4 linked regions of the Tamandua tetradactyla genome follow. The protein of the gene in region 2 interacts with the protein of the main gene of each other region in a pairwise test. Links are inferred from orthologs where the notes say so. Each region holds a gene or a part of one and is shown on either strand. Other genes may lie near its edges. The genes, in order: TBC1D22B, VPS52, AIRIM and GOLGA1.

Region 1 (7,748 bases), about 5.0 Mb from region 2:
TATATGGGCCATGAGCTAAGAATGGTCTTTACATTTTAAAATTGTTGAAAAAAAATGGACAGAAGAGCAATATTTTGTGATGTGAAAATTATATGAAATTCAAATTTCAATGTCCATAAATGCCATTTTATTGCAACACGGCCATGCTCATTCATTAACCTATTGTCTATGGTTGTTTTTATGCTACAATGGCAGAGTTAAGGACTTGCAACAGAGATTGCATATCCTGCAGAATCTAAAATATTTACTATCTGGCCCTTTATAAACAAGCTTGCCAACCCCTGGTTCATTGCATAACTGATATATTTCACAATAATAAAAACTATGGCAGTATTAAAGAAAATCTCCAGAAGAAAAAGATCTATAATTCTACCATCTAACAAAAATTGCTTAATTTCCCATGTTTCTTCCAGTCTTTGACCATACATTTCAATGTATTTTTATTGAAATCAAGCAATGGTATTTTGCATTCTGCAGTCTCCTCTCTTTACATCACACTATAATCCTTTTCCACGTGCTACGTAGCTTTCAACATTTTTAAATATAATTATTAGAGAAGTTGAAGGTTTGAAGAAAAAAATCATGCATAAAATAGAGTTCCCATATACACCTTGCATTAGTGTGCTCCATTTGTTACAATTCATTATTTCAACACTTTTTCATGGCACAATATGCTCATCAAATTTATAAACCACATACCATAATTTGTATAACCACAACCTCATGTTTAAATCTTAATATTATATTCCCCCCCCCACATACACACTATTTATTATTGGTTATAAGGTGCAGAACTTCTTTATGCACAGAGCTTTCCCCCCTCCTTTTGACTTAATATAATAAATTCCTAAGAACAAAGTACCTAATCTTTCTTTCACCCACATCCCAAGCTCTAATCACTCTGTCTTCCCTTCTTTATTTCAGTAAATTCTTGCTTCTTCAGATTTTCGTATATCCCTTTGCCTTCTCCAATATGACTGATTTCTTTCATTTGGCTTTTTCTAGTTGGTTAGATACCAAAAAAGCTCTCTTATCCTTAAATCCCAGCTTGATCTCACCATTCCTTTGTTGGTGCAACATTCTACAGTGCATTATGAGGGCTGTTTCTTGCCTAATTTCTTAACCCTTCCTGTCATCACAGTGTCTACATCCTTCCACTTCATTCTTTTACTGAGGTTAAAGTCCACCAGCACTCTTTGTTATTAAGTCTAAAGGCTTTTATTCTCTCTTATTATTTTCCTCACGGAGCATCTGCTCTGAAATGACCTCTCTACTGTTCTTCAGGCTGTTCTCTTTCTTTTCCTGCATGTCCCATCTCTTACATAAAACTTTCCCTAAGCGTTGGGAAATACGACCTCTTTTTAGTACAAACCCTGCACAGTTCATTCCCTTAACTCCACTTTGCTCCATTCTAAGTTGTTTAATTCTTATTATGAATGAAGATGAGGTTAAGGAGAGTCCTTGACTTGGTTTCAAAATAATTAAACACTTCAGACAAATTCAAAGATCACAGAGCTATTAAGAGAAGATCTACAAAGTGAGGGCCACAGTTCAGCAGCATGAGTGTCATCTGGGAATTCTGGAGAAATGCAGAATTGTAGGCTCCAGCCAAGACCTACTGAATTAGAACTAGACTTTTAATAAGGTCCCAGGTGATCTGTATGTACATTAAATTATGAGAAGCATTGGTCTAGTGAACATATATGTCTGCCACTAAGAACCTCCATCAAGGGAGTGCAAGTGTGGTTCAGTGGTAGAATTCTTGCCCGCCATGCGGGAGACCCAGATTTGATTTCTGGCTTATGCAGTGCTCCCCCACCCCCCACCCCCCCAAATCAACAAATGGTGCTGCAATAATGGGACATTCACACTGAAAAAGGAATGAAATGTGACCCCCACCACACAGCATACAAAAAAAAAAATCTTCCATCAAAAAGGCTCCAAGGACACCTTGGGAACATTAAACCAGTAATTTTCACCTCTAGCTGGGCAATGTTTGGTGTGAATTTGGCTGCAGGAGATGGAGACAGACAACAAACAAATAATCTTTGATATACAGTGTAGATTTGAGTCCTGGGTAGGTAGGTGGTCTCCTTCTTATATCACTCCAGTATATTCTTCTGAAGCTGCAAAAGAGTTTGAAGAAGATTGTGTTTCCCAAGAGAGGAAGATGGTTCTTCAACCAAAGGTTTACTCAAGCTTATAGGATCTTTGGTAAAATGGACACGTCCTATTAGGCGACATGCTTTCTCTAACAATTCCCAACCAAAAATGTGTACGGACAATGTGCTGCTTTGAAAGGATGTATGGCCCCTAGAAAAGCCATGTTTTAATCTAAATCCCATTTTGTAAAGGCAGAATAGTCCCTATTCAATACTGTATGTTTGAAACTGTAATCAGATCATCTCCCTGGAGATGTGATTAAATCAGGAGTGCTTGTTAAACTGGATTAGGTAACGACATGTCTCCACCCATTGGGTGGGTCTTGACTGGTTTACTGGAGTCCTATAATAGAGGAAATATTTCGGAGAATGAGAGATTTGGAGAGAGCAGAGAATGCTGCAGCACCACGAAGCAGAGAGTCAACAAGCCAGCAACCTTTGGAGATGAAGAAGGAAAATGTCTCCCGGGGAGCTTCATGTAAACGGAAGCCAGGAGAGAAAGTTAGCATGACGCCGTGTTTGCCATGTGCCCTTCCAGCTGAGAGAAAAACCTTGACTGTGTTCGTCATGTGCCTTCTCACTTGAGAGAGAAACCCTGAACTTCATCAGCCTTCTTGAACCAAGGTATCTCTCCCTGGATGCCTTAGATTGGACATTTCTATAGACTTATTTTAATTGGGACATTTTCCCGGCCTTAGAACTGTAAACCAGCAACTTATTAAATTCCCCTTTTAAAAGCCATTCCATTTCTGGTATATTGCATTCCGGCAGATAGCAAACTAGAACAGATGTAGAAAACAGAGTAAGAATAACAGAGCTTCTTTGTGTTGAACAATATTAATAGCATCCCTTGGGAATCAGTGTTATTTAACATTTCATAAATGATTAAGAAAAAGAAATACTTTGAGACATAGGCACACAAATTATATTCTGCTTTCTGCCTAGTGAAATGTCAAGTCAATAGGGACATCTTCTGGGACATTTCTAATGCAATGTGAGGATGCTGGAAAGTGGCAAGTGTCTTGCCATGTGGACAAGTGTAAGGCAGTGTACGTAAGAAAAGACAATTCAGATGATATATTTAATGTTATGAACTCTGAACTGCCAGGTACCACCAAGGAAAGGAATCTAGAAGTCGCCGTAGATTATTCCACCAGGACATTAACTCTTCTAAAGTCCAAAAATGCCAGCAAAGTTTCTGGATGTCCAGAATAAAGAGATAACATCAGCTTCAACAAAAATCCACCCATTTGGGGGCTCACTGTGCAGTGCTGGCCACGGCATCCTAAGAAAAAGAGCCATAGAAAGGCGGCTAAAGTGATTTAAAAGACAGAGGTGGTTTTGTTTAATGGATTTAAGGCCCATAAAGGTGCTAGTTGAGAGAAGATAAGATGAAAGTCTGTAAAAGCATGAACGATTCAGGAGACTAAAAATAGCCCTTTTCATACAAACCCATAATTCTAAAATTAGGGGTCAAAAGAAGCTTGGCATTGGGGATAAAGTCTATGTAGAAAGTGGCCATTGAAAACATATAAAAGAAGGTCCTTCTTTAGACAGGAGGTCGTTAAGTATACTCCAATACATACTCCAAAAACTACTCTGGACCTCCCTTCATCATGTAAATATTCCCATGGTATACAACCAGGGAAACTCAAAAAAAAGCAAAACCACCAAGAAGACATTCAAAAGATTCAAAATGATAATATTAAATCTTATTCTAAGTCAAAATCAGATTGAAAATAAATTCAAGGGTGAATGATTTATACTAGACTAAAAGGGAAATTAAGGATGTTTGGGGTTACATCCTTATTCTTTGTGATTTACACTATAGAGGGATACTATGTCCTCTTAAGAAATAGTATGTGGTAGTCTGAATTGGATGGATAAAATAAGAACATTCCCTAAACACTGTTTTTTAGTATCTAGATTCTCATAGTCAGAAAATCAGAATTATTGATTGAAACAGGGATTAAATCATTCGAATTTCATCTACAACAAATTCCTTTCACAGTGCAATTAACAGAGGCCAGGGTGACTGATAAAATAACCGTTACTCACGTGTAGAACAGTTAACTCAGTTATTGGATCCGTACTGACTCTACTTTACAGATAAATAAGCGGGATCCAAACAGAACCTGGAAGGGGAAGATAATAATCACAGTGTTACTGAGTCGGGAGATGTTAAAAATGGGCCATAATCAACACATGAGTCCTTGACTTTTAGGTCGAAGATTTTTTATATGTATACATACATACAGATCACGCTCTCTCTTAAAAACATATATATATATAAGACTCAGAAACACGAGAGACCTAATTTCTCCCTAAGAAAACGGAACCCTTCATCTTTCTCATAGGTCCCTTTCTTTACCTGCTTCTCCTCCCTTCCCGGAGGTAGCAACTTTCAGCCCCGCCTTCTTGCCTGTTCACGCTCCGCCTTCCCCGTCCACCTGTATGCCCGGCTCATGACGTGGCCGATCGCCTTCAGGGGCATGCAGGATTCGGGCTCCCGATTGGTCCGTGCGTCCACGGCCTCTGCAGCCCACCAATGGCAGCGGCGCTGGGTGGAGGGGCGCCCACATCCAAGATGGCGCTCCCTGGCGCTGGGTGCGGGTGACCGGCGGCGGGGAAGCGGCCTGGGTTGGCCCTCCGGTTGCCGGGTCTGGGGGCGTCTGGCCGGGTCCCCCAGCTAGGCCCGCCTACAGCGCTTTCCCCGGGCTGGAGCCATGGCCGCCGAGAACAGCAAGCAGTTTTGGAAGAGGAGCGCCAAGCTGCCGGGGAGGTGAGCCCAGGACCCTGAAACGGAGAGGGGATTGGATCAAACCTCTCCAGATGCTAAGCCCTAAATCCCGCGGGCCTGGGGCGCCCCCGAGCCGGGAAGGCTGGCTGGGGAAACCCGCTCTAGGGGGGCGGGGGCTGCCGGGGGGAGGCAGGTCTGCTGTCAGGCAGAGGAGTTGGGAAACGGCTGAGTGTGGGGGCAGACAGGGGTCTTGGGGCGGAGGTCTCCAAGGGGGTGCCTGCCCTCAGAGCAGACCGGGTGTAAGGGGAAGTGGAGTTTGATGAATAGCCAGTGTCGGCCCTGGGTTCGGATGACCATCCCAGGGCTGCTTCCCACTTTGAACAGAATTCCCTTCCGGGGGTCGTCACCTTGCACAGGTGGTTGCTTGCGTTGAGGATAGCCCCTTCCCTTATTCTCCCAGTTCCACACGTTTGAATCTTTCTCCTGGACTCGTAAAAGGTTCTGGTAGGAGCTCGGGCTGCCTGTAAGGGACAAAAAAAGTGAGGAAAATCCTCCAACCCGACCGTACTTTATCTCAAGTCGGCCCTTTTCCATTAGGAATTATTACAAGGTGACCCTAGAATCGGGGCTTTTTTTTTTTTCCCGGCATTTTTCAGGTTTTTGTCCATTGCCTACAGACCACCCTCCTCCCTGCGTGGTAATATTCGTGTGCAAACGTACTAATTCTGAATTCTTTCATTCCTCAGTTTAGTTGGAGAGCAGACCTTCTAAACTACTTTTTTTCGAATTTGTGCCTTTTTAACGAGAGAAATGAGGGCCAGTGATGACTATGTAGCAGTCTGATTTTATTAGGATCTTGTTAGACCTATAGCGAATAGGATGGGAATCAACTTTTAGTAATACATTATTAAAATAATGCAAAGATAACTTCGGATTGTAATGCTGTGGAATTACAGTGTTAATATTAGTGCTAAAGACTTTTGATGTTTTTAGATAAGCACCACTTCCTGCCAACTGATTCCTTTTCCTTCCTGATCTGGTGAGCTCTCCAGTTGTGCTAACTTCTGTTCTCTGGGGTTTTCCATAGTAAGATCATTAAAATTTGACATCCTCAGATAGTAATCAGAATTAAAGGGAAAACTGTTAAATCAGGAAGGAGTATATGAGCTTTGGACATGGCATGGTCTTTTGTGCCTACTGACTGCTGGTTGCTATTAATGATCTTTTGTTTTCCACACTTCCTCTTTTGGACTATAGGAACAGTCAACTTTTTGAAAGCACTGCTTTTGTGAGATAGAAAGAAGAGTCTTTATTAAATTTCTTCAAGTTTCTGACTTCTTTTTTCACTTTAAAGAGGAATGTAGAGGAATAGAGTAGACCATTTGATTTAAAAAAGACCTCGTCTCTTATTTACCTGTGCCACCAAGGACAAATACTTAATTTCTCTAGACCTCGGTTTTCTTATCTGTGACATGAGGATAACAGTAACTTCCTCAGAGTTATTGTGAAGACTAAATGAAATACTGTATTTGTAAAGAATCTAGGAGAGAGTTTATATAGCATATTACAGTTGCTTAATAAATAGTAATTATTAAAATTGCTGTTACTGTTAGAGCAAGTAAACTTAAAAGCTTGTTTCTCAAGTTCTTACCCTAGTATTAGGGTTTATTGTTTATTCTTAAGGTATTAAATTGTTGCCACACTTCATAAGATTTTTTGATGCCTTGTTTGTTGAAGAGAAACATTGTTCAGGTCTGAGCTTTTAGCAGGGAAGCCCCAGACACCCCTGTTTATGGTAGACAATTAAGGTTCTTTTAGATAGAAAGGTGCTTTGATTTAAGAACTTTACATCTGTACTCTTTCAGTTTTAGTGAAAAAAACCTTTCTCCTGTGTGGAGAAATGAAACAAATGGCTGTATGCTAAGATCATGACACTCTAGAAGTGAGACTAGTTTACTCTGCAGATTGAAAGGTAAAAAATCAAAGTGATGGCAGGGTACTTCAGAAAGTTTCAGAAACTTTCAGTTTCTTTGATCAGGATCTAGAGACCTTAATGACAACAATAGGAATTTTATTTAGTTAAAATAACCTAGGTTCAAAATTAATTAAATGCCTCGTTTTTTCATTGAGAAATATTTACACACATACAGTCTAACCATATTATACAATCAAGGGCTCACGATATCATATAATTGTGTATTCTTCACCATGATCATATTTAGAACATTTGCATCACTCCAGAAAAAGAAATAAAAAGGAGAAAAAAAGAACTCATCTCACAGCCCTTACTCCTCCGTCTCATTGACAACTAATATATTTTGATCTACCCAATTTTTACCCTTTATCCCCCCTATTATTTATATATTTTTTATCCTTATTCTTTTACTCATCTGTCCATATCCTGGATAAAGGGAGCATCAGACACAAAGTTTTCACAATCACATGGTCACGTTGTAAATGCTATATAGTTATACAGTCTTCAAGAAACAGGGCTACTGGAACACAGCTCAGCAGTTTCAGGTCCTTCTAGCCACTCCAGTTCACCATAAACTACAACAGAATATCTATATAATGTATAAGAATAACCTCCAGGATAACCTCCTGACTCTGTTTGAAATAAATGCTCTTTTATTAAAAAAAAAATAACAGTTTTAATAGGATGAAATTCACATACCATAAAACCCTTTTACAGTGTACAATTCATTGCTTTTTTAAGGGTATTCATAGTGCTGGGCATCCATCACCACTAATTTCAAAACATTTCCATCACCGCAGAAAGAAATGCATGCCTCTTAGCAGTCACTTCCCATTACTCCTTCCTTCCAGCACCTGGTAACCACTAATCT
Region 2 (7,154 bases):
CTGGGTAGTATGGCTTATGAGCTCTATAGGATAATGTATGCAAAGGGCTACTCAAAGATTGTGTTCCAGTTTCCCAAGAGGATACCTTCTGAGTTTGTCCTTCAGCCATGGACACTGCTGGAAACCAGATTCTCATCCTGGAACCTTATAGCTCACTCCACAAGTAAATGGGTGGAGTGATACCCAAAAAGACAATGAGGCTACTTTTGATTGGCTAGGTCACAGTAAATCCTAGGATTTTCCACCCATTTCTGTTTATTTTTTCAGTATTATATTTAACAAAAATAAGATTATTTTTTCAGTGAGACCAAATCCATCTTAAATGAAAGAAATTGATGTGAATAGAGAAATTAAAGAAAATCTAACAAATTACTCCTTGTGTCCTTCAGGAAGCTTGTCCTGTTGACAAAATGGTGACAGTTAAAGTTGGTGATACGTTACTAAAGTTACCAACTTATTTTCTAGAGAGTAGACAAAGCAAACTTGTTGCTATATGCTTTATAATTTGGATTCCGTTCCTCCTGTTATAACTCCCAATACTTGGCAAACTTACTGTTTTTCTATTTTTGCTTCCTTGTATATTCTTACTATATATTTTTTGGACTTCAAAGTTTTGAACATCTTTAGACCTGTTACAGAGCCAATGATTACTGATTAGATGATTATTGTTATTCTAAATAAAGTCACATTACTCTTGAATTAAAAAAAGAAACAAAATTCTTTTTGCAGGTCACTGGATCCCCATGATCAAAGTCTTCCAACATCACCATTGTCATTTGTCCAGAGATGACCAGGCCCTTGGGAACTACCTACTCAAATCAAACTCAAAAGAAACTAATGCTTACACTGGTGCCATGACACCAACACCAGCACAGGTGTCCCACCACCCCAATTCATGAACCAAGAGATGTAGAAAGTGAAGGATGGTGTATCAGCTTTAACAGCACAGGCCCCACATTTACACCCACCCAAGACCTCAAAATGTGACCTATTTGGAAACAGGGTATTTGCTGATATAATCAGTTAAGAAGAGCTCACACTGGATTACTGTGAGAGGACACAAGGGAAAGTCATGTAACAGGCAGAGTTCAGAGTTGTAGCTATAGGCCAGGAAATGCCAAGGATTGTCAGCAATCACCAGAAACTATGAGGAAGCAGCATTCTCTATAGTCTTCAGAGGGAGTATGGTCCTCCTGACACACCTCGATGTCAGGCTTCTGACCTCCAGAACTGTTGAGAATTGGTTGTTTCAAGCCACCAATCTGAGGTAATTTGTTATGGCAGTCCAAGGAAACGAATGGATATTTCCTCTCTGTTAAGTGACTGAGGAAACCAAATTATCAAGAGGTTGCTTCACAAGAGTTTAGGGTCTTTAAGTCACTCTCAAATTTTCTGAAATATTTACCAATAAAAGATTATTATCTGAGACTTGCTTCAACATGGAATATGGGTAGGGGTATAGATGAAACAAGATTTAAAATTTTTAGCTAAATGGTGCATCTGTGGGAGTTTGTTCTCTTTACATTTAAATATTTACATTCTTCACCCTTCCCTGGCTAATCTTGCTCTCTACTCCTTTCTTTAACTTCTCTGAGGAATTCTTCCCCATACTCATCCCTTTTCTTACTCAACCTTTTTTTCCAGTTTCCAAGTATTACACCACCCTTCCCAGACCTGTAAAGGAGCACCTCGAACCTTTAGTTTTCTCACAAGGCTAGATGCTTTTCCTCAGTATTCACTGAGCATGATCCATCTCATCACAGGCTCTCCTAAGTAACTGAAACTGCCTTGGTTAAATTCAGTTTTTCCACGCATCTAAATCGACTACAAACGTTATGATACACATTTAACAGAAGTAACAAATACAGTATCAGTCAATTTCAAAGAGGCAGAGGACAGGGCTAACAGTGTTCCTGCCAACCACGCCCACTTTTCACATTCACTATCTCACTTAAGCTGCCCCCGCTCACATTCACTATCTCACTTAAGCTGCCCCCGCAACTGCAATAGTTCCTGCAGCCAACACTGCCTTACTAGTTTCACAGAATGTCAAATAGAAAGAACTTAAGCTTCTATATTAAAGAACAAATGAACTACAAATTCAGACAACAAAGTTCTTAAATTCTAAGTATTAAACACTAACTTAGTTACCATTTGATCAGCTGTCAAAACTGTGAATGTCCTCAAAGTATCAAGTAGAGTTCTCACAAATATCTATATTGCCATAGCAATAACCTATGTAACTAAATCTTTTCATGATTTCAGGAAAATAAGAAGATACAAATATTTTTACAATTAACATATGGAAATCTTAACCACCTAAAATGGATATCTTAGTTAGCTTATCCATAGGCATATTTAAAAAAAAAATTAAGTAATCACTCTAAAGCCTGTTTGTACAGTGTGTTCCATAACCCAATTTAAAACTGAAGCAAGGGAGGAAAAGAATCTATGGATACAGATATCAGAGTTTCTTAAATTCTAAATACTAAACACTATCTTGAACACCATTTTATTAACTATCAAAACTGTGTGTATTCTCAAAATATCAAATAAAAAGTTATTACAAATATCGAAAGAAAGATGGAAAAAAAAATCAAGGGATCTTGCAGGACTTTGTACGTCAAAGCTAGGACTCACAACTTTAAATTGTATCCCCTCTTTGAATTATTAGCCAATTGAAATTCCTTGAAATCAGGCAAGTTTCCCTAGTACCACCCATTCCCTAATATTGAATGAGAACCTGCAATACCCTAGAACCTGGGGATTGTGAACACAGGCCGTGCCCTGACCCCATGGAGTATACATATACTGGTAGGCTAGGAAGACACTCAGCTATTTCCACAATTACAAATTTTAGTGAAAATGATAGGCAGAATGTCTCCGCTTGTACTTAACCATTTCTTGCGCCTCCCACCTGAGCTGAAAAGCAGCATTTATTTTTACCTCTGGCATCTGAGTTTTGTAAAATGTCCCTCTCAGGACTAGTGACACCTCTCCTGCCCCCTAAATTAGGTTTCTTCACACTTGACATTGTTGACATCTCTACTCACTCAAGATGTATGAGAATTATCCAATTTTCAGAGCACACTTATTTAATAGTAACAGTTGTTGATATGATGCAGTTGGGGATTAAAAGTGAACTAAATCTAGCATGGATCTCATTAGCCAAAAGCTCAGGAAATGCCTGAAGAAACTCTAGCAATTTCAAGCAGACAATCATACCCCCATCCACCAGGTGAAACATTCTGGCTTGACCTCAAACTACCCTGTCTTAACATTGCTGGTTCCTGCTAAGAGTATTAGTCCCTCACTTAACTGCTTCTTTTCTTAATCCAGCAGCCAGCATGATCTGGATCTCCTCAACCATGCCTCCTGAGATCTAACAACCCAAGTTGCACTTATATTCCCTACTCCTTACCCTACTTTACCTTAATGGCAGTGATGGCAAAGGCTATTTTCCGGCGCCCATCGATGTTGGTGTTGAGTACTCGCAAAATGTGCTGGAACTTCTCAGGGATCACTAGAGACTGATTGAAAGAGATTGGGGGAGAAGTCAGACACCATGACTAGGATCACATTAAGGCACCTAAGACGAACGAAAAACTTCAAACAAAAATGTTAAGATTGTCACAGAGGGAGCAACGACCTCCCCCATTCAGATTCACAACACAGCAAACTCCTCAGTCCTGCAAACAAGAACAAGTTCAGGTCCCCTCCTCGTTCCCAAAAGTACACTCCGCGTGGCGGACACGGAGGTTACCCACACGCCCAAGCTTTTCGCCGCTTTCGTGCCCCCGGGGAGCGACCCTTCACTGGGCCCCGCTCTCTAGAATTGGAAGTCTCTGGTCGTCCCTTCCCAGGGAAGCGATCCAAGGCTCCACACAAAGCTGCAGTCCCCTAGGTTGAGGTGTTCTCGGTCCTCTGAGAGCAGATCTTCCCTGCCCTGGTTCCGATGTTATCGGATCCGGGCACGAATTCCAAGCTTACCATGGCTGCAACAGAAACAGCGGCGTGTAGGCCTCTGTGGAAGAGAGAGCGGAAGTGACACAATATACTTATATAGCTATTAGGCGGAAGGGTGGAGCTAACTGGGAGAAACACTTCCGGAAACTTCCCCGCACCAGGAGACTCGACCTCTGAGTGGTTGGCTTGAGGGTCAAAACTTCCGGTGCGGTCTCCTCTTTACAGTCCGTAAAGTTTTTGGCTGTGGCAGTAGCGAAGGTTCCGGAGTGAGATTGTCTTGAAGACTTCCGCACTCCCATTTACGCATGGCTGAAGTGACTATAACTGAAAGGGAAGGCTGGAGTAAAACAATTTAACTTAAATATCTAGGAACGGTCTCGCGCTGTGACAGACATTCTGCGACTGGTAGTTCAGTTCCCGGGAACGGACTTGCAGAGACTGACAGCTGCCGGAAGTGAGGCTGCGCGGAATGGCCGCGGCTGCGACCATGGCAGCAGCCGCCCGAGAACTGGTTTTGCGGGCGGGTGCTGCGGATACGGAGGAGGAGGAGGGCCTGCTGGTGAGAGAGCTCGGGGCTGTTTTCCCTTCCCGGGCGCCTTACAGCTGCCCTCGCATCAGAAAGACCTAGGGTGGGTTTAGGCACAAGGGTGGGATATTGGCTGCTAATGGTGACACCACCTATTCAGCTGCCTATAACCAGTACCTGGGATCAGACCTGAGCGGGGAACAGAATGGCAAGACTCTGGTTTTGGGGGCACAATTTCAACTTCCTTTCAGATTTTGGGGCAAAATAGAGAAGCAATTCTAATTTGTGTATAGTGTAAAGGATAAGAGCGTGATCTCGGGAGCCAGACTACCGGGGTTCGAATTCCAGCTCTGACACACGCTGTGTATCTGTGGGCAAATTAACTAGCTTCTCTGTGTTATTACTTTCCAAACCTATATAGTGAAGAAAATAATGTTACCTACGGTATAGGTTGTCGGGAGGATTAGATCAATGAACAGTGGCATCTGGCATGTTGCTTGCTGACATTTTTAGAAAGTCTGAGGCTCCCCAAAGGGGTTGTGATAGAATATCCGAGATGGCAGGGGTCCATCTAAATTCATCTGCAAGGAGTGCTCCGCAACTCCTAATTTTGTTCACTCAGACACCTCCAGCCTGTCATGTGTCTGCCTCCTTTGTTATGTTCCCGATCCATCAGCTCCAAGTAATAGATGGGATAATGTGTTAGACTCTTGAAATTCTTTGACTCAGCACTTATGGCTCTTCAGTAGAAGGCTTTTCCCTCCACATGGGGAGTTGGGGATGTACTTGTATTATATATATATTTCTTTCTGTACCATCTCCCGTTAACTTGTCCCTCTCCAGGGGGGTGGTCCTGGGCTTCAGGAACCACTGCAACTTGGGGAGTTGGACATTACCTCGGATGAGTTCATCCTGGATGAAGTGGATGGTAAGAGATGGCATGAGGTGGATGTGGAACTGAAAGTCAGCATGTGTAGAACCTGAGAGGCATGGGGACTGGAAGGAATAAGGCAAGGATTGGTACGCAGATTCTCAGGATTGGGAGAGGGAGCTATGGAGTTAGGCCCTTTATGATAAACTTCTGTTTCCAGTTCACATTCAGGCAAACCTGGAAGATGAGTTAGTAAAGGAAGCTCTTAAAACGGTGAGGCTTTCCACTGTACTGATCTGCCCCTCTACCTACCCTTCCCCCAGAAAAAAGAAAAAGAAAACAACCCTTCTTCTCTCATAACATCACCCTGATGACTCACCCTCCAGTTCTTCATTGATTTTGTGCCAATGTTCCTTTGATATGATTTTCTCCTGACCAGTTATCTTTATGTTCTCCCAGGGTGTGGATCTCCGTCACTATTCAAAGCAGGTTGAACTGGAGCTACAGCAGATTGAACAGAAATCCATTCGAGATTGTATCCTCCAGCAGAGTTAAGGGGTAGTGTTATTGACATTGGGATTTGCAGGGTGTGTTCCAGACAGCCCAGCCAGGACTGAGATCTTCTCCTTGAGGTTTCTGTCACCTTGAGGAAATTGGAGAGGTCCTGCAAGTCTGAGGATTTTCCATCTTTTCCATGAGGACCCTTGACTTTTTCTGGGTCAGATATTCAAGAGAGTGAGAACATAGCATCTCTGCACAACCAGATCACGGCTTGTGATGCTGTTCTTGAGGTTAGTAACCATGACCTCACTCCTCATAACTCAAAACTAGACCATAGCCTCTGGTGCCATTCCCTGGGTTATTGGACTCAGGTGGGAACAGGTTAGTTACTTTCAGGATGACCTCCACAACCTTTTTTGTTCTTACTGTCAGAGTTAATGTTTTTTCTTTGTGACCTTTGGGGTACCTCTTCATCATCTGGGGACTTCATCAAGTGACTTAAGTGTCCTGGTTGTCCAATTAAAACCCTGTGGCACTCCAGAAACATCTTCATCCCCCTCTTAGCGCATGGAACAGATGTTGGGAGCTTTTCAGAGTGACCTCAGCTCCATTAGTTCTGAGATCCGGACACTGCAGGAACAGTCAGGAGCCATGAACATTCGGCTTCGAAACCGCCAGGCAGTCCGAGGGAAACTTGGGGAGCTTGTCGATGGTCTGGTGGTGCCTTCTACTCTGGTCACGTGAGTCACCAGTTTCAAGGGTCACAGTATCTATAGCAGGTTGATGGGCTGGGATGACCTACCCACTTACCAAATAGGTCTCCTCAATCTAGGTCATCAAATGACTATCAGAAGTTGGTGTGTAGGTTGACAACTCTAATATTGATACATGTTTTGACTTTAAAGATTGGGAGTTGTCCAAAGTCAGATATGTAGTGTGGAGGCCCAAGACTTATATGGGGGATCCAGGAACAGAAAAATTTGTACATATAAAAAGGTAAATGAGACAGAGGCTAGATATAAAGATTATAATCTGGATCTGGTCTAGGGATTCCTGAGTCTCCCTCCTAACTCATCCCACCTCTCCCTGCTGTCCAGGGCAATTCTTGAGGCTCCAGTGACAGAGCCCAGGTTCTTGGAGCAGCTGCAGGAACTGGATGCCAAGGCAGCTGCAGTCAGAGAGCAAGAGGCTAGGGGCACGGCAGCCTGCGCAGACGTCAGAGGCGTGCTTGACCGGCTTCGGATCAAGGTGGGAGTTGGGGTGGATTCCCTGGAGACTGCTAGAACCAGC
Region 3 (7,883 bases), on a different chromosome or scaffold from region 2:
AATGATACTACGTTTGGAGCTCTCAAACGGAAACGAAATACTGAAATCATGATGATGGGAACTCGTGAGGAGAGCTTGGAAGATGTCTGAGGTCCACCACCTGACAAGGATGATCATGTCATTGACTTGGATATTGAAGATGAAGTAGTTGAAGTAGAAAATAAGAAAGAAATCCTGCTGAAAATTTCTTGCAGAGTTAAAGAATACAAAGTGGAAGTTCTGAATCCTCTCCAGGGAAGGGAAAAAGCTTTTGGTATTAGCTGTTGATTATACATTATTTGGCCACAGGTCTTGTGTAGAGACTAGGTTAGAATTAATGCGGCCCTATCTTCAAGAATTCCTAACACCTGAATATGAGGGTTATGACATTGTTATTTGGCCTGCCACAAATATGAAGTGGATTGAAACTAAAATGAAAGAACTGGGAGTAAGCAAAATGCAAACTGTAAGATTATCTTCAAGTTGGACAGTGCTGCTATGTCAACAGTACATACTCAAGGAGAGGATTAATCGACATAAAACCTCTTGGTGTTAAGTTTTTGGATTTTACAGTAAAAAAAAACACCATTACGTTTGATGACATAGGAAGAAACGTTCTAATGAATCCCATAGAATGAGCTAAAGATAAGACCTTTTATGAAAGCTCACCTAAATCGAGATAAAGACAGAACTTTTAAAATTAACTCAGTACTTCAAGGAAAGAGCAAAATTAAACGACTTCTTGGAGCTAAACCACAAATACTGGTAAAGGTATTTTTCAAAGAAACAAGGACAGTAGTTGTAAACTATAAAACTCATACTTGAGGTCCATGAACTTGTTGCTTTTATGCTAGAACTCATTATGATAGTGCCAGACACTGAAGCAAATGCCACACTGCTTATACTTGGTCTTCCAATTTTCTGTAAATTTAAGTTTATGTTTCTTGAAAGTCATAACAATATGCTAAAATAAGTCCATTTCCCCTCTCTATTTATATATACTGTTACTACTGAAAATTATTTTCTCCAGTATTGATTACTGAGCTTTTTTCCAAAAAAAAAAGAGGAATGTATACTGTCATTTTGTGACTTATGAAACAACATATCTTTTATTTTGTCTCACTAAGTCTAAGACCAAACCCATCTCGAAACTAGTGTTTTCCTTTCAAAGCCAAAAGAAAAAAAAGAAGTTTTTGAGTAGGAAAATTAGTTTGGTATGCTTAAGATTGCCAATAATTTTTTTATCCCTTTGTCATACACATAATTTCTCTTCTGTACTCTATTATTAAGATCTCTGAATTCTAAGCTGTCTCAATTTGGTCTGTATGTGTTACAGTATTCTTCGAATTAAACTGGAAAATATTAGCTATGATTCAGATATAGTATGAGAAATAAACCTTAAGACTGAAGAATAAAGCTAAGGAACAAGAGTGTCTCTTTTTGGTGGCTAAACAGAAGCACTTCTACCTACAGCCATTGTCATCAAAGCAGATAAAGACACTAATTCAGTGGAACATATCACTGATTCATTCCTATAAAGCCTGAACAAAAATTCTTTTCTAGCAATACCTTGTCTATGTAAAAACACTGTGTTTCAATGAAAATATCTAGCTTTAAGATTAAAAACTATATATTTGCAGCTCTTAAACCTGCACTATAGATATGTGATGTGACCAGTTTGTTTACAGTATTGCTTTAAATAGTTCTTGTATTTGAAAGGAAGCTAATCCTTTCAAATAAACTTGGTGCATATTGTTCTTACAGGACTATTTCAGAGAGTAAATAATAGAATACCTTTTCTTTAAAAGATAAAAATAAATAAATACGTGTGTTATGTGCATATGAGTATGTATGTATGTATATGCAACAAACATTATATATGCACTTAATATTTTTTCCAAATGTTTGCATGCTTAAAAAGTATTTTGTTTGCTTTGCTTGTTTTTGACTGCATTTGTGGTTGTAGCTAATCTCTTTTCAGTGCAATATAACAGTTTGTGTGACTATATCACAAGGGATTTATTCATTCTCCCATCGATAGTTTTTTGCTACTATAAATACTGCTACCTTGAACTGTCTTATATATGTCTCTGGAGCACACATCCACGTTTTCTCTTGGCTATATACTTAAGGATAGGGCAGTACAGGGTTGTAGATTATTCAAGGGTTCAGCCTTGATATTATGCCAAATTGCTTTTCAAAGTGGTTATCCTTGTTTACATTGCTTCAATATTCAATACAAGTTCCTAACGATCCTCTACAATACCTGGTCCTGTGTCATACTTCTCACTCTTGGCAAGTCTTGAGACTCTCAATTATCATGAGAAGCCTTCTTCAAAAAGGCTTCCAGTGGCCATTCTAATTAAATTTGCTCACAGTGGTAACTACCTGTATGTATGGGTATAGCCAAGAGCAGGCATGATTCCAAGTCCTTTCCTCACAGAGCACATACAAATATCAGAGTAGTAGTTACGGCAGGAATGATAAAATCTGTTCTATAACTCAGAACTCAGAACTATTCGGACTTCATGTACTCAGCATCTGATACTACAATTTTTCAGTTGACATGAACAGATAATGTTCCCTATGGATCTCTTCCACAACAAGCAACCATTGGTTGGATTTTATGACTAGACTAAGGATAAAACTAACCAACAATTAAAAAATAGGAGCGGTTACTTACCGTTGCTGCCTCTTCTAAGGCCTGCTTGTTTCCTCCAAGGGCTTTAAACAGAACATTTTATTTAGTTACTATCAGATTTTAACAATAACTCACCTTCCCTAACACTATCAGTTATTTCTAAAACTGGACATGATTAAACCCTTGGGCCAGAATTCAAGAACCTTTACAATCTAATCTTTCTCCAACCTTGACTTCTCCTCCTATTCATTATGACCTACTCTGTGTTCCACCACATTAAGCTTCTCATTTCCCAAATGTGCCACTGTCGCTCATGACTTAGTGCCTTGATACTTATTATTTCCTCTGCCTGCAGTACTTCTCTGAACCCAGCAAACTCCTAATTCATCCTTAAAACTCAGGTCAAATGTCATCACTTCAGAAAGTTGTCCTATGTATCAAACAATCCACCTACCATGCTTCACTCAATCTCAAATCCCTACTCTACAGATACGGAAACTGAGGCTAAAGAGACTAAGCAACTTGACCAGGATCACAGAGCTGGTATATGAAAGAACTGAAATTTGAACTCAGGTCTACCTTTTCCCTAAATTTTAGCTTATGTTTCTATAAAGCAGGGTGCTACAAAGAGCTAAGTTAGTTGCTCACCCTTTTCCTCCACAACAACTACTCGAAGTTGTTCAGTATCTAACTTTGCTTTGGGCTGTGAATTCCTTGAGGACAAAAATAATATTTTCATAGTATCTGGCAAAAATCTGGAATATGTTAAGTGTGCAGCAAATATTTGCTTAACAAAGAGATCTTTCAAAGATTTAGAAAGAGAATATAAGTTAGGATGGGCCCTCCTGCTAGAAACTCTCATAGCATTCTTCCTATATAACAGTTAAGAACTCAGACTTCGGAATCAGAATGTCTGGGTTCAAATATTCTGCCACTAACTAGCTTATGAGCCCTTAAGCAAAGTAACTAATCTCTCTGTGCCTTAAAAGAGATAATATTAATAATTAATAGGCTTATAATCAATAAGTTTGTTATGAGGATAAATCTAGTAAACATACGTAAAACATATGGTATAATGCCTGTGTGACATAGTAAACATGACAAATGTGCTTACTGACTGCCACTCAATTTTAATTATATAATAAGTGTGTGAACTTTTAAATGACCCTACTCCACTAACATCAGTTCCTGAGGGCAGGGACAAGTGTGTTTTATTCCTCAATGCACTTTTCAGCACCTAGCATTTTGACAGATACCTGCTCAATGAGTATTTGTAGAAATGAGCAAATGACTAAAAGAGTAAGCTAAAAGGATCATTACATGTCTACTGCATACACAGAACCTGCATTTCTATCCAAGGAGGCTACCTACTGGGTAATTAAGAATAGAGGAAAAATTAAGGATAACTTAGCACAAAGGGCAGCCTCCTGCATTTCCTTAGACTTTTAACAAGGCAGTGGGGAAAAGACAGATTTTCCTCTGGCCAGGAAAAGTCTCAGGTTCTTGTACTACACAATTTGACTTGGCCATTTTTAAACTGGCGGTTTTCATAATCTGCAGGAAGCACTGCCTAGGGGTTATCCCTCTACCTGGGCTCTAATAACAAACCAAGTTTTTCATTTAATCATTTAACAAATATGTATTGAGCACCTAGTACTTGTCAGCTCCTCTTCTGGCTACAGATGAAACAGACAAAATTCTTACTCTGCCCTTATGGATTTACAATCCTGGTTGTAGGGTGAAAGGATATGTAACCAACAAAAATAAATACAGAAAATATATATTAGACTAAATCAGGGGTCAGCAAACTGCTCCTGTCTATTTTGGTATGGACTGCAAGCTGCGAATGCTTTCTACATTTTAAAATGGTTGGAAAAAAATGTCAAAAGAAGAATAATATTTCATGACACTTGAAAGTTATGTGACATTCAAATTTCAGTATCCATAAATTTTTTTGTGGAACACAGTCACGTGCATTCCTTATAGCTGCTTTGGAGGTAAAATACCAAAATTGAGTAGTCGCCAGAGAACCTTCTGGCCTACAAAGTCTAAAATATTTACTATCTGGCTCTTAATGGAAAAAGTCTGCCTACTCATGGATTAGATGGTAATAAGTGCTATGGAGAAAAATAAAGAGGCGCTGGGCAGGAGGGCTGCAGTTTTCAACTGCTGTCAGGGAAGACTTCACTACGAGGATGACGTTCGAGCTAGTCCTTTATAAAGCCTGTCACGGTAACCACAAGGGGATCCAGGCCAAAGCCTAGGGCCATTCCAGCAGCTCTTACCGAAGTAGTCCAGCCAATTCATCTCGCGCAGGGCCTTAGGGAGCCGCAAGATCTCGATGTTGTACAAGTTATCCATCTCTTTGAGGAGGTTCTGCCTGTCTGACTGAATCTGCTTGGATCGCATTTGCACTGCGAGAGGACAGAATCAACAGGATACGGGTCACCCGGCGGGTGAAAGGGGCCTGGAATCTTGCTCCCTGCTCCCCAACCCACCAGGGCCCAGCCATCGCCCGGGAAGCCGCGACCACCCGGCTGTGCCCCTTACCTTCGCGGTCGAAATCCTTGAGAAAGGAGGCGAGCTTCCGGCTCCTCAAAGAGTTGGTCTTGGTGGTTCGTCTGCTGCCCTTCCTCGCAGGAGCCATGACGTTTCGGTGGGTGGAGGCTACGGGGAGGGGGGACCGAGTCACAAGAGGTTAGTGGGGCAGTAGAGAGAGGGGAAATAAGGGGGCCGCGACGGGGCGGAGGGGTGGGGGGGGGGGAGGCCGGATAGCGTCCCAAGGGAGTCAGTAAAGGGGATTCCCTCCCTTCCGGGCCCGGGCTTAAAGAAGAAGCAAAGCACGAACCTGCGGGTCCCCAAACAAGGGCAGAGGTAAACCTGCTCGCTCCGGCTGAGACGGACTGGCTCTGAAGCGAACCGGACCTACAATCGCCGCCACCAAATTCAAATCCAACTTCCCCAGGTTAACGAATGAGGAGTCGCCGTCTTAGAAAGGTCCCACAACATCCAATCACCAGGAAGCTCCAGTATCCGGCGGCCAGTCCGCGCCCGGGACTACAACACCCAGAAGTCATTGCGGGCCGACGACGCTCGTCCGCGGCTCGCAAGACCAGGTGGTCTAGTGAGGCGCTCTCGGGGAGGTCGCTTTGGGGCGGGTGCAGAAGGACGCGAGCGCGCGGTGGCTGTCCCATCGGCTGCCGTATCTTTGGTTGTCTTAATTTTAGGTTTTTTCCCCCTGGTTTAGGGAAAGGGGTAGGCAGCTTCAAGGAGGGGAGATAAGATTCCGGATCCGGGAGCATCGGTCTGAGGGGAATACAGAGTTTCTGCCCCGGGAACCCGCATTCTGAGCCAGGAGATTGACCTACCTCTGAGAGATAGTCGGGAAACCCTGCTCGAGGTGACAAACAAAAGGGACTCTTCCCAGAGCCCTTTGTGAAGGAAAGACAACGCTTCGCGCCGGGAGCTCAGGTCTGAAGGGATAGACAGACCTGCGTGAGGAACCCCCTGGTTGGAGGGTGGAAGCCAAGAGCTTGACCTCACAGGAGGACGAAATAATTCCCACCCTTGACCCCGTTCTCCCCATTCTGACTTGGGACCTTAACACTTGTTGTTGTTTGTTTCTGTTTTTTGCTTTTGTATTCAGCAGAAGATGACTCAGGACCGGGCATCTCTTGCTGTGCAGGAGGCCCTGAAGAAGTGCTTTCCCGTGGTGGAGGCGCAGCACAGCTTGTGGCAAAGTACTCTGAGGGACTGCCAGCCCCTCCTGGCTTCCCTCAGCAACTTGGCAGAGCAACTACAAGCCGCTCAGAATCTGCGGTTTAACGAGGTGCCGTCGCTCCGGGCCTTCCCGGACTTGAAGGAGCGGCTGAGACGCAAGCAGCTGGAGGCTGGTGACACTGTCCTGGACAAGCTCGGGGAGAGGATGTAAGAGGCTCAGAATTTTTCACAGAAATATTTTGAATCTGGGTGTTTGATCAGTAGCCAGCACCTGTCAGAGAGTGTTTATCTCCTTACATGAGAGTATGACATTAGAGAATTCTCATCCTTCTTTTTCTGCCTGCTTAGCTGGACCTTTGTCAAAAAGCCATTTTCAGACATTTTCCTTGTCAGAGGCTAATATGGTAGTGGTGAAATTAGTTGAGGTCACAAAAGCGGAACAGAAAAGCTGGTATCAAAGGAGTGGAGGAAGCTTATCAGCACTAATTGATAGTTTTTTTGATGAAAAGCAACGAGGAGCTATACTGTAAACCTAGTAGGTGTCACAGCTAAGGCTTATTTTGTTTGTTTTATGCTGTCTTTTTTATTAGAGAAGTTGTAGGTCTACAGAAGAATCACACATAAAATACAGTTTCCATGTACCACTCTACACCTTGCATTAGTGAGATACATTTGTTACAATTGATGGAAGAACATTTTTACAATTGTACTGTTGTTAAATTGTCCATGATTTACATTAGGCTCACTGTTTGAATCATATGGTCCCATATTATTGTTGTTTTAAATTTTTGTTCTTGTAACATATATACAACCTACAATTTCCCATTTTAAGCACATTCACGTACATAATTTAGTACTATTAAATGAGTTCACAGTATTGTGCTACCGTCACTACCATCCATGACCAAAACTTTTCCATTATCCCAGACAGAAACTGCACATTAAGCGCTGATTCCCTTCCCTACCCCCATCCTGTCCCCTGGTCACTTATAATCTAGCTTTTGACTTTGAATTTGCTTATTCTAATTATTTCACATCTGTGAGATCATACAATATTTGTTCTTTTGTGTCTGACTTATTTCACTTAACATGATGTCTTAAATGTTCATCCATGTTGTGCCATACATCAGATTTTCATTTCTTTTTCACAATATTGTATATATACCACATTTTGTTATTCATTCATCTTGTTACTTCCATCTTTTGGCATTTGTGAATAATACCACTGTTAACATTAGTGTGCAAATACCCGTTCGAGTCCTTGTTTTCAGTCTTAAATAGAAGTGGGATTGCCACTTGGTCATTTGGTAGTTCTATACTTAACTTTCTAAGGAACCCGCCAGGCTCTCTTCCACATGGCTGCATCATTTTACTTTTCCACCAACAGTGCCTGAGTCTCCACATCCCCTCCAACACTTGTAATCTTCCACTTTTTAAATAGTAGCCATTCTAGTGACTTTTAAAATATTAGCCATTCTAGTGGGTGGGATGCGGTATCTCATTGTGGTTTTGATTTGCATTTCCCTGGTGGCTAATGATGTTG
Region 4 (7,447 bases), on a different chromosome or scaffold from region 2:
GCTGGAAAATTTTTTGTGATAACGTATAACAGCAAAGCAACTTTTTACCCCATTATTCTTAAGAATATTAAATATATCTGGCCCAATTATTAAATTATTTTAAAATAGAGTAGTGAGATTAAGGAGTGAGTTTTACTACCTCAAAAATGTTAGATTCGACTCTACTTTTTTTTAACAAAACAGCCACTAACTCATAACACTTATAAATTACAATAATAAATTTAAAATAAAATTTATAATAGCATTTTCTTAAATGTTGATAATGTACTATTTCTGAAAAATCAGTGAAAACATCCCAGGGTCTGATATTCTGTTTTTTAATTAAAAATTTATTGCAATTAGAGAGTAACAGAGGATATGTTATGCTATTAAAAATTAATTAAATTGACTTAGCATCAGTGTGCACATTAATTTCAGGAGAGTGGCAGCAGTAAAAAAGTTCAGTAGATAAGGCTAACATTGTGAATATGATCTCCAACCCTAGCATTTGTAAAGCCAGTTACTTTGTAGTCAGATGAGATAAGAATTAGAAAATCAAGACTTTCCCTCCTTTATTATATCTCCTGTATACTTATACATTGATATTTATATTTATTTTGCTGGGCTTCCCAGTTTTCCTGAATACTATGTGCATTTTGCATTTTTTTTCAAACAATTCATCTTCTCCAAAACCAGAATTGTAAAACATAATATTACACCATATCCTAGCCTCATTAAGTTTTGAACACAGAGATCTATTTAAGCATGTCTTGTGTTTATGAAAAGATCATTGATGTGTGACTGAAATCAGTCACCTAGAAGAGAAGAGTATCAGAATGATGTAGGGGGATAATATTAAGTATAACTTAATCTGTTGTTGCCATAGCTGTAGACATGAAATTTTTTTTTCGTTAAAATAGGCATTTTTCACTTACTAGTTTTGTGTAATATTGATTTTTAAGAAGACTTCCATTTCTACAAAACATTGTTACTTAACTTGATTTAAACATCCATTTCTTAATTTTATAATATTTTTATTTTCTTCTGTGCTTTTAAAGTTAGTTATCAAACTACTCTAAGTAGTGCAAGTTTTAACAAAGTCAAACAGTAGATTCAGGACTTTTAAATAGTTTGAAGTACACTGTATTAAGTATACACTCCAGATCCACTTAGTTAAACCTGAATTTGGTGCTAGAATTGACTATAAATTGGGAGTATTTTTCCTATTTTAAATGAACAATAGCCGTCTATATCCTAAGACAGTCATCCTTTTAGGTATGGCTAATTGTTTATTGAGACATAACATAAGTTATTTCAGGGGTCAGATTTAAAAAAAAATTTTTTTCTTTTCAGGTAGTCTTACAGAATAAAAGTTGATAAACTGATTGTTTCAATTTCTGAGTAAGATAAGGAATTAAGGCTAGCCTTTCCACAGAACTTCAGTAAACTTTAACATTTTGTCTTTTTACTTAAATATCCTGTTTTGAAGCTCTTATGAATGTCTATTTGTTCACAGCTGAAAATTGAGATTTGTAAACATTATAACTTGAACCATAAATTTCCTCAAACATCAAATCAGTATGATCAACCATTGTAAAATGTGAAATGATCGTATATGAACCCAAAGTAAATAATTCCAAAACATAGAGGAATGACCACTGTATTTTAAAAGAATCCCATCCTCTTTTGCACATTATTAATTTTTTTCTAAATTAGAAGTATGTATTGTGATGTATTAAAAATCTTCAGGGAAAAATGTTTAAAATGTTTTAGGGCAATAAGAATTTTTATTACTATTTCTTGAAGAATAAGTTGGTTTTTACTCTTGATTCTTTATTATAACATCATTTAAAAGAACTTCTAATGATCAGTAAAATATTTTAGAACTTGATTTTCATGGTTTTTTATAGTTATCTGGATGCATTCCTTTTGCCACATAGACCATATGGTTAGTTCTCCAAATGCTTTTTGTTTTGAAATAAACTTTTCTATTCAACAATCAGAGTCCTATATTTTTGAGGATTCTTCCAGATGAGGTAGACAGGTGTTAGATAATAGGAAAGGCAGATGCAGTGTCCTAACATTTTCATAATACAGCTTATCAGTGAAGGAATTTATTTAAATAAGTTATATTCATTATGTAGCATCAGTGTAGACAGTGGTTTCATTAATCAGTGAATCACATGATGCAATTTAAGTCATTTTGTATTTTGCACTGATTATTTTAATTTCAGGCCACATTACTATTATCTCTGAGCCATTTTCACCGTAAGGTTGAGTACTGTTTTGCTTTATACAAATCATCACCAAAGGTTAGGATAATCAATAGGAGTTAAAATAAGTTATGCTTGAACTCTTTTTCCTTGAAAATAATGGCAACCCATTTGTACCTTGTGGATATCAGGCAGAAATGCACTTGTTTAAATCATAGCAGAAATTACATTTGGAGGATATAGTTCCTTGATTTTCTGGTGGTGTGAAATACTTTTTTAAAAATTGTGCTTGTCTGTAACTGAGATGTAATACTTTAAGGATTATAGAGTTACATTAGTTCTCCTCAAGAGACTGAAGCACAATCATTTTCTCTTAACAGTTCTTATCCAAGTGCTGCTAATCTGTAGTGCAAATAATGAAGCTTGGTTGTTTAGATCCAGCTCTTGCCAATCACTGTAATATTACCTTGACATTACCTTGTTGCTCATTTGTATTAAAATTTGAACACTGTGGGTTAATACTTTAGAACAAAATCCATCAACTCAGCTCTGTTAGACAGCAAACCATTTGGATTCAGTCATTTTTATACATGTTATTAATCAGTAGGATAAACTTTGAAGGAGCTATTTACTACTGTTGACTAAAGGGGAAATTATATTGGCAATAGCATTTGACTTGAACATTTGTGGTATTGTAAAATCTTGTCTCCTGTTTCTAATTTGCTTAAACCGTACATACTCTTAAACAAGGATGTTTCCTGTTTTGTTCCTTTACAGTAGCCTTTTTCTGCTTTGTTATGGTTAATTCTTAATAGGTTTTAGATATTGAGAAGTTATTGAATCATTTTGTTTTCTGGAGCTCATCAGTTTCAACTTTTGTATGATATGTGATATGTAACAAAGGACAGCAGCCTTTCAGTAACTACTAAATGAATTTCAGAGTCAACACTGTTTCTGCAGAGCAGATTCAGTAGGCCCTTGTCTTTCCAATGTTTTCTTCTGTTGTATAGTGCCTGCCACCTCAAGGGCGCTTTATATTAGAGGATGGAAAGTTAAAAATTGTTTTGAGGTTTAATGAATAACAAATTATACAACATTTGATTTTTGTTGTCAGTGTATTGAAGTCATTTTTGCATTGATAAATGTTCTCTTGGAATGTGACTACATTCATCAGATGTGAACTGTTGTAAATGAATTTTGTATCTTGAATCCACATATATAAGTGTATCATCAACATAAAAATAAACAGTTTTGCTTAAATTTTTGGTACTTCAGTATTGTTGACGACTTAGACACTTACCTGTTATGGTGTGCTTCTTTCAGACAATACTTGAGATGCTTTGAACTATCTTAGGGTTGTGGATTAGATGCTTATTATTCTAGTTTGTAAATTTCTTCTGAGTCCTGGTCTTGATTTTTCCCTGTCCTGCTTCTAGTGCTCAGAAATGAACAAGCAGAGGCCAGAGGTGGAAGCTGCTGACCCTCGGACTGGCTTTAGGTCTCACGCAAGAACAAGATGTCTATTAACTTGTAATGCTTGGCGTGGCACTGAGGAGTCAGATCTCACGTCCGCTACTAGTTTGCAGTGTAACTTCGAACAATTAAGTGGATAATAAAATTAATGAAGTGGACTCTCATCCACTTCTCTTTTTAATAGTGTATCAGTGCATTACATAATAAAGGTATACACTATGTGTGTTCCGGGTTGCCATATAAAATGTACAACCTATAGTAGGTCAGAAGCACACAAGTTAAAACACTAGTACAAGGCGCAAGTTCCCACTACTAGTTTCTGGAGCAAAGGCTCCAGAAGAAGGAGGCACAGACAGTCGGTGATTATGTACTACCTAGTGACAAGGCAGACATGTGAGATGCAGTGGACTGGGATGCGCGAAGAGGAATGGAATGGAAGCTCCCTGTTGCCCCGGATTTCTATCCAGCACAGCCGACTTTAGCCCTACCACACCAGTGAAATTCTTTCCCTTTTACCACGAGACCCTCATACTTTCCTCGCTCCGCACAACTTTCAAATAAAAAGAAGGGAAGAAATTACTCGGCAACAATCGTAATCTGTGTACCCCACAGCTCGCTGACGTCGCTTGCAGGCTGTAAGCAGCGTCAGATACCAAACCTGCATAGTCCGGCCGTTCCGGCCCAACCGTCGCTTGAAAGTTCGCACCCAAGGCCCCGGAGTAAGTGCACGAGCGCATGCGCGAGCAACGACTTCCGGTGTTCTGGTGGAGGTGCGGTTCCGGGTCGCTGCTCGGCCGGCCGGCTGGCTGTGGGGGCTGGTGACGCGGTCCCGCGCTCAAGAGAGGCCCGGGAGGCGGGGCTTTGTCGGCTGCCCCAACAGTGGCAGGTGCGCAGGCGGGGGCTCCGGGTACCGAGCAGGCCCCTCTTTTGCCCTGTGGCCTCGGTTTGCCGCCAGAGCGGTCCGGACGGGGTGCCCGAGACCCTGGGCAGGGGGCCTTACCAGGGTGCTGAAAGGGCGAGGGTGGTGTCGGCGGGCTGCCTCGGCCTGGGCGTCCAGAGCCTCGGGATCCAGGATTCTCCCTGCGCGACCTTGGACAAGTCACTCCGCCTCTCTGGGCCTCAGTTTCCCTGCTGTCAAAAGGAAGAGGCTTTGGGCCCCAGCCTTGTTTGACAGCCCCAAACCCTGGCGGGTTTCCAGAGAGTGAAGGAGTGTGATTCAAACTGCTACGGGTGGCCCTGGTCAGGTACCTACCTGCCTGCCTCTCTGGGCATTTGGTTTACCCAAGTTTGCCATTTTTTTCAGCGGCTTTCTTAGTGCGAGTCAAAGGTCAGTGACCATATATCCCAGGGTCTGGCCAGGTAAATGATGTATGACTGTCAGAATCAGCTGGGAAACCTTAATCTCTTTCAAGTTGTTTTGCTCAGGGCTCCCAACGAGAAGTGAATTTAGGGACCTACTGCAGTGAGAGATTCTTTGTACCATAAGTGTAGCTTTTAAGAAAATTAAAAATGCAAAGAGACTAGGGTAAGGGAGGTTAGACTACTGAAGGTGGTAATGACAGGATTTTTTCCCCCTTAACCCACTCTCCCTCTTCCCACCATCCCCAAATACTGAGGCCTCACACTTGAAAGGAAATATCCAACGTATTTTGTCTTTGTTTTCACGCAGGACAGAATGCTTTGACTTCCAGGCTGTTTTAAATCTAGTAGATAAGCTAGGTGAGTAGGTGGTTTACAGACATTGAAGGTCAAGTTTTGAAAAATTGCACAGACTTAAGTGGATGATCTAAAGGGGTGAAAAATCATTTGTAGATCTTAGAGCAGAACCTAGACAACCTTCATGAAAAATTAAGATTGAAGCAAGAATAGTAGTGTTTTATACATCAGTGGGAGGAAAAGATGCATTAATCTGATGTTAAATATTATTTCAAACATTCTGAAGAAAAGAAAAGTGTGATTTGGGTTAATTTCATCAAACTCAAAAGAGCACCACTCAACATTTCCAAGAAAAGTTTAGGGATTTCTGATACCTATGCAAAATCGACCATGCTTTTTTCTAGGTTGTTAGCCTCTGTTACAGAGGCTTTTCCCCATATTGAGTTACATATATTTTTATTCTCATCTTTTAAAAAAGGCACCAAAGTGTAATTAAACAAATTAGTTTTATTGAGGGAAGGATTTAAAAGCGTTATGTGATGCTATGTTTATCGTGGGAAATTCTATAAATGCTATAGCTGTATGCTATAGCCAACATGCCATTTTATTATTATTTTCAATAATAATAATTATTTAAAAAAAAAAAAAGAATAGGGACTTGTAAGTCAGAAAGACCTGGATTCAGATACCAGCTCTGCCACTTAGCTACATGATCTTGGGTGGATTACTTCATCTCTCTAAGACTGGATTTCCGTATCTTTGTATGCATATGAAGTACCAGAGTGCTTTTTTAAATGTTTAGTATTTGTGGTCTATTAAGAGTACATGTGAAGTTATGAGACTAAATTTTGAAACCTGAAGGTTAACATAAATATGAAACAGATTTCAGAGGTTGAAATCTTTCCAATGTTTAACTTAGAGTTGTCTCTTTCATCTGATTTCTAGATACTGTATTGCCATAAGCCCTTTTACACACATTTAAATGGGAATGCAGCTGGCTCCGATGTCTGGAACTTTTTAGGCACCTGTCACTGAATCCTGGTTGTTGGCCTTAAGGACTATTTGGTGGTTCAAGAGCCAGTCTATAGTGCAGAATATCCACATAGCAAAGATGTTTGCAAAACTAAAAAAGAAAATCGCAGAAGAGAGTGCTGTTGCTCAGAGACCAGGAGGTGCTACTAGGATCCCCCGGTCGGTGAGCAAGGAATCTGTTGCCTCTCTGGGAGCTGACTCAGGAGATGACTTTGTAAGTATCTTCCCTGGTAGTTTTGAGTATTTGGTGCCCTCTCAATTTAATGTTTAAATAATATTGCAGGAAATTTTTGAAATATTTTCTTTTTAAATTGCATGATTATTTCATAGCTTTTGTAGTTTATAGCTGAACAAGACCTTCACATGTGCTTTTTCTTTCTCTGGGGTGCCTTTCTATATCATTTTCTTATTTTTCTGTGAGTCCCTTTCCACATTCTCTACGCTGTCCTCTTATAGTTCTTTTCCATCAATATGCTTTGTGCATCTTCTTTTACATTTAATCTTTCAAAATGCCTGGACTTGTTTTCTCCCTACTTAACTAGGTCTATGAGTTGTGGTATGAGGTTAGCCAGCGTGTACTGTCTTATTGGGAAAGTAGATAGAAATTTGTCAAAGATGTCATGGATGACCACGTGTCTCTTATTTTTAAAGTACCCTTGTGGTTGGAGAGATTCCAGAAAATGAGGAGGCTGCTGTATTAGGGAACTGTCATGCCTAAGGATTAAAGTGTGTTTGGCATGTGGCGGGATCCTCTTAAATCAGATGACTTAAAAAAATGCCTGATAAATATAAAAGAATGTATACAATGTATATATAGAGTATAAAGCATAAAAATTAAATGAAGTCCTGTTAATCTTCACCCATCTGAAGAAATAGAACATTATCAATACTCTTGAAGCTACTGTATGTTCTTTCTTAATTCATTCTCTCCTTCCCATCTCTGTGGATAACCACTATCCTAAAGTTTGTGTGTATTATTCACTTCCTTTTTAACAATTTATTGCTTAGTGCTGCTAATTTTTGAACTTTATAAGAGCATTATATCATAGGTAGTCTTCTTGGAGTTGCTTTTTTTTTTTAACTGAACATGTGTC

Evidence for each region.
Region 1: the proteins of VPS52 (region 2) and TBC1D22B interact in binary tests that used the Homo sapiens proteins (3 or more experiments, as listed by UniProt). The link is inferred for Tamandua tetradactyla from reciprocal best matches to the Homo sapiens genes VPS52 and TBC1D22B.
Region 3: the proteins of VPS52 (region 2) and AIRIM interact in binary tests that used the Homo sapiens proteins (3 or more experiments, as listed by UniProt). The two-hybrid records come from large-scale screens. The link is inferred for Tamandua tetradactyla from reciprocal best matches to the Homo sapiens genes VPS52 and AIRIM.
Region 4: the proteins of VPS52 (region 2) and GOLGA1 interact in binary tests that used the Homo sapiens proteins (3 or more experiments, as listed by UniProt). The two-hybrid records come from large-scale screens. The link is inferred for Tamandua tetradactyla from reciprocal best matches to the Homo sapiens genes VPS52 and GOLGA1.

Annotation. Positions count from the first base shown.
Region 1 is NC_135331.1:94,153,324-94,161,071, forward strand, and holds the start of TBC1D22B (TBC1 domain family member 22B), read left to right. Parts: upstream 1-4,737; 5' UTR 4,738-4,888; coding exon 4,889-4,944; intron 4,945-7,748. UniProt on the Homo sapiens protein: May act as a GTPase-activating protein for Rab family protein(s).
Region 2 is NC_135331.1:89,201,932-89,209,085, reverse strand, and holds the start of VPS52 (vacuolar protein sorting-associated protein 52 homolog), read left to right. Parts: upstream 1-4,147; 5' UTR 4,148-4,435; coding exon 4,436-4,525; intron 4,526-5,335; coding exon 5,336-5,420; intron 5,421-5,583; coding exon 5,584-5,636; intron 5,637-5,822; coding exon 5,823-5,898; intron 5,899-6,086; coding exon 6,087-6,154; intron 6,155-6,428; coding exon 6,429-6,604; intron 6,605-6,961; coding exon 6,962-7,112; intron 7,113-7,154. Other genes in the region: RPS18 (small ribosomal subunit protein uS13), read right to left, coding at 3,432-3,530, 3,991-3,993. UniProt on the Homo sapiens protein: Acts as a component of the GARP complex that is involved in retrograde transport from early and late endosomes to the trans-Golgi network (TGN).
Region 3 is NC_135328.1:187,625,300-187,633,182, forward strand, and holds the start of AIRIM (AFG2-interacting ribosome maturation factor), read left to right. Parts: upstream 1-4,878; 5' UTR 4,879-4,905; coding exon of another isoform or gene 4,906-5,034; 5' UTR 5,035-5,170; coding exon of another isoform or gene 5,171-5,267; 5' UTR 5,268-5,276; exon of another isoform or gene 5,277-5,287; intron 5,288-5,366; exon of another isoform or gene 5,367-5,585; 5' UTR 5,586-6,091; intron 6,092-6,266; exon of another isoform or gene 6,267-6,269; 5' UTR 6,270-6,272; coding exon 6,273-6,547; intron 6,548-7,883. Other genes in the region: CDCA8 (borealin), read right to left, coding at 2,663-2,703, 4,906-5,034, 5,171-5,267. UniProt on the Homo sapiens protein: Part of the 55LCC heterohexameric ATPase complex which is chromatin-associated and promotes replisome proteostasis to maintain replication fork progression and genome stability.
Region 4 is NC_135328.1:47,074,866-47,082,312, reverse strand, and holds the start of GOLGA1 (golgin subfamily A member 1), read left to right. Parts: upstream 1-4,434; 5' UTR 4,435-4,551; intron 4,552-4,566; exon of another isoform or gene 4,567-4,992; intron 4,993-5,334; exon of another isoform or gene 5,335-5,384; intron 5,385-6,266; 5' UTR 6,267-6,432; coding exon 6,433-6,567; intron 6,568-7,447. UniProt on the Homo sapiens protein: Involved in vesicular trafficking at the Golgi apparatus level. Involved in endosome-to-Golgi trafficking. Mechanistically, captures transport vesicles arriving from endosomes via the protein TBC1D23.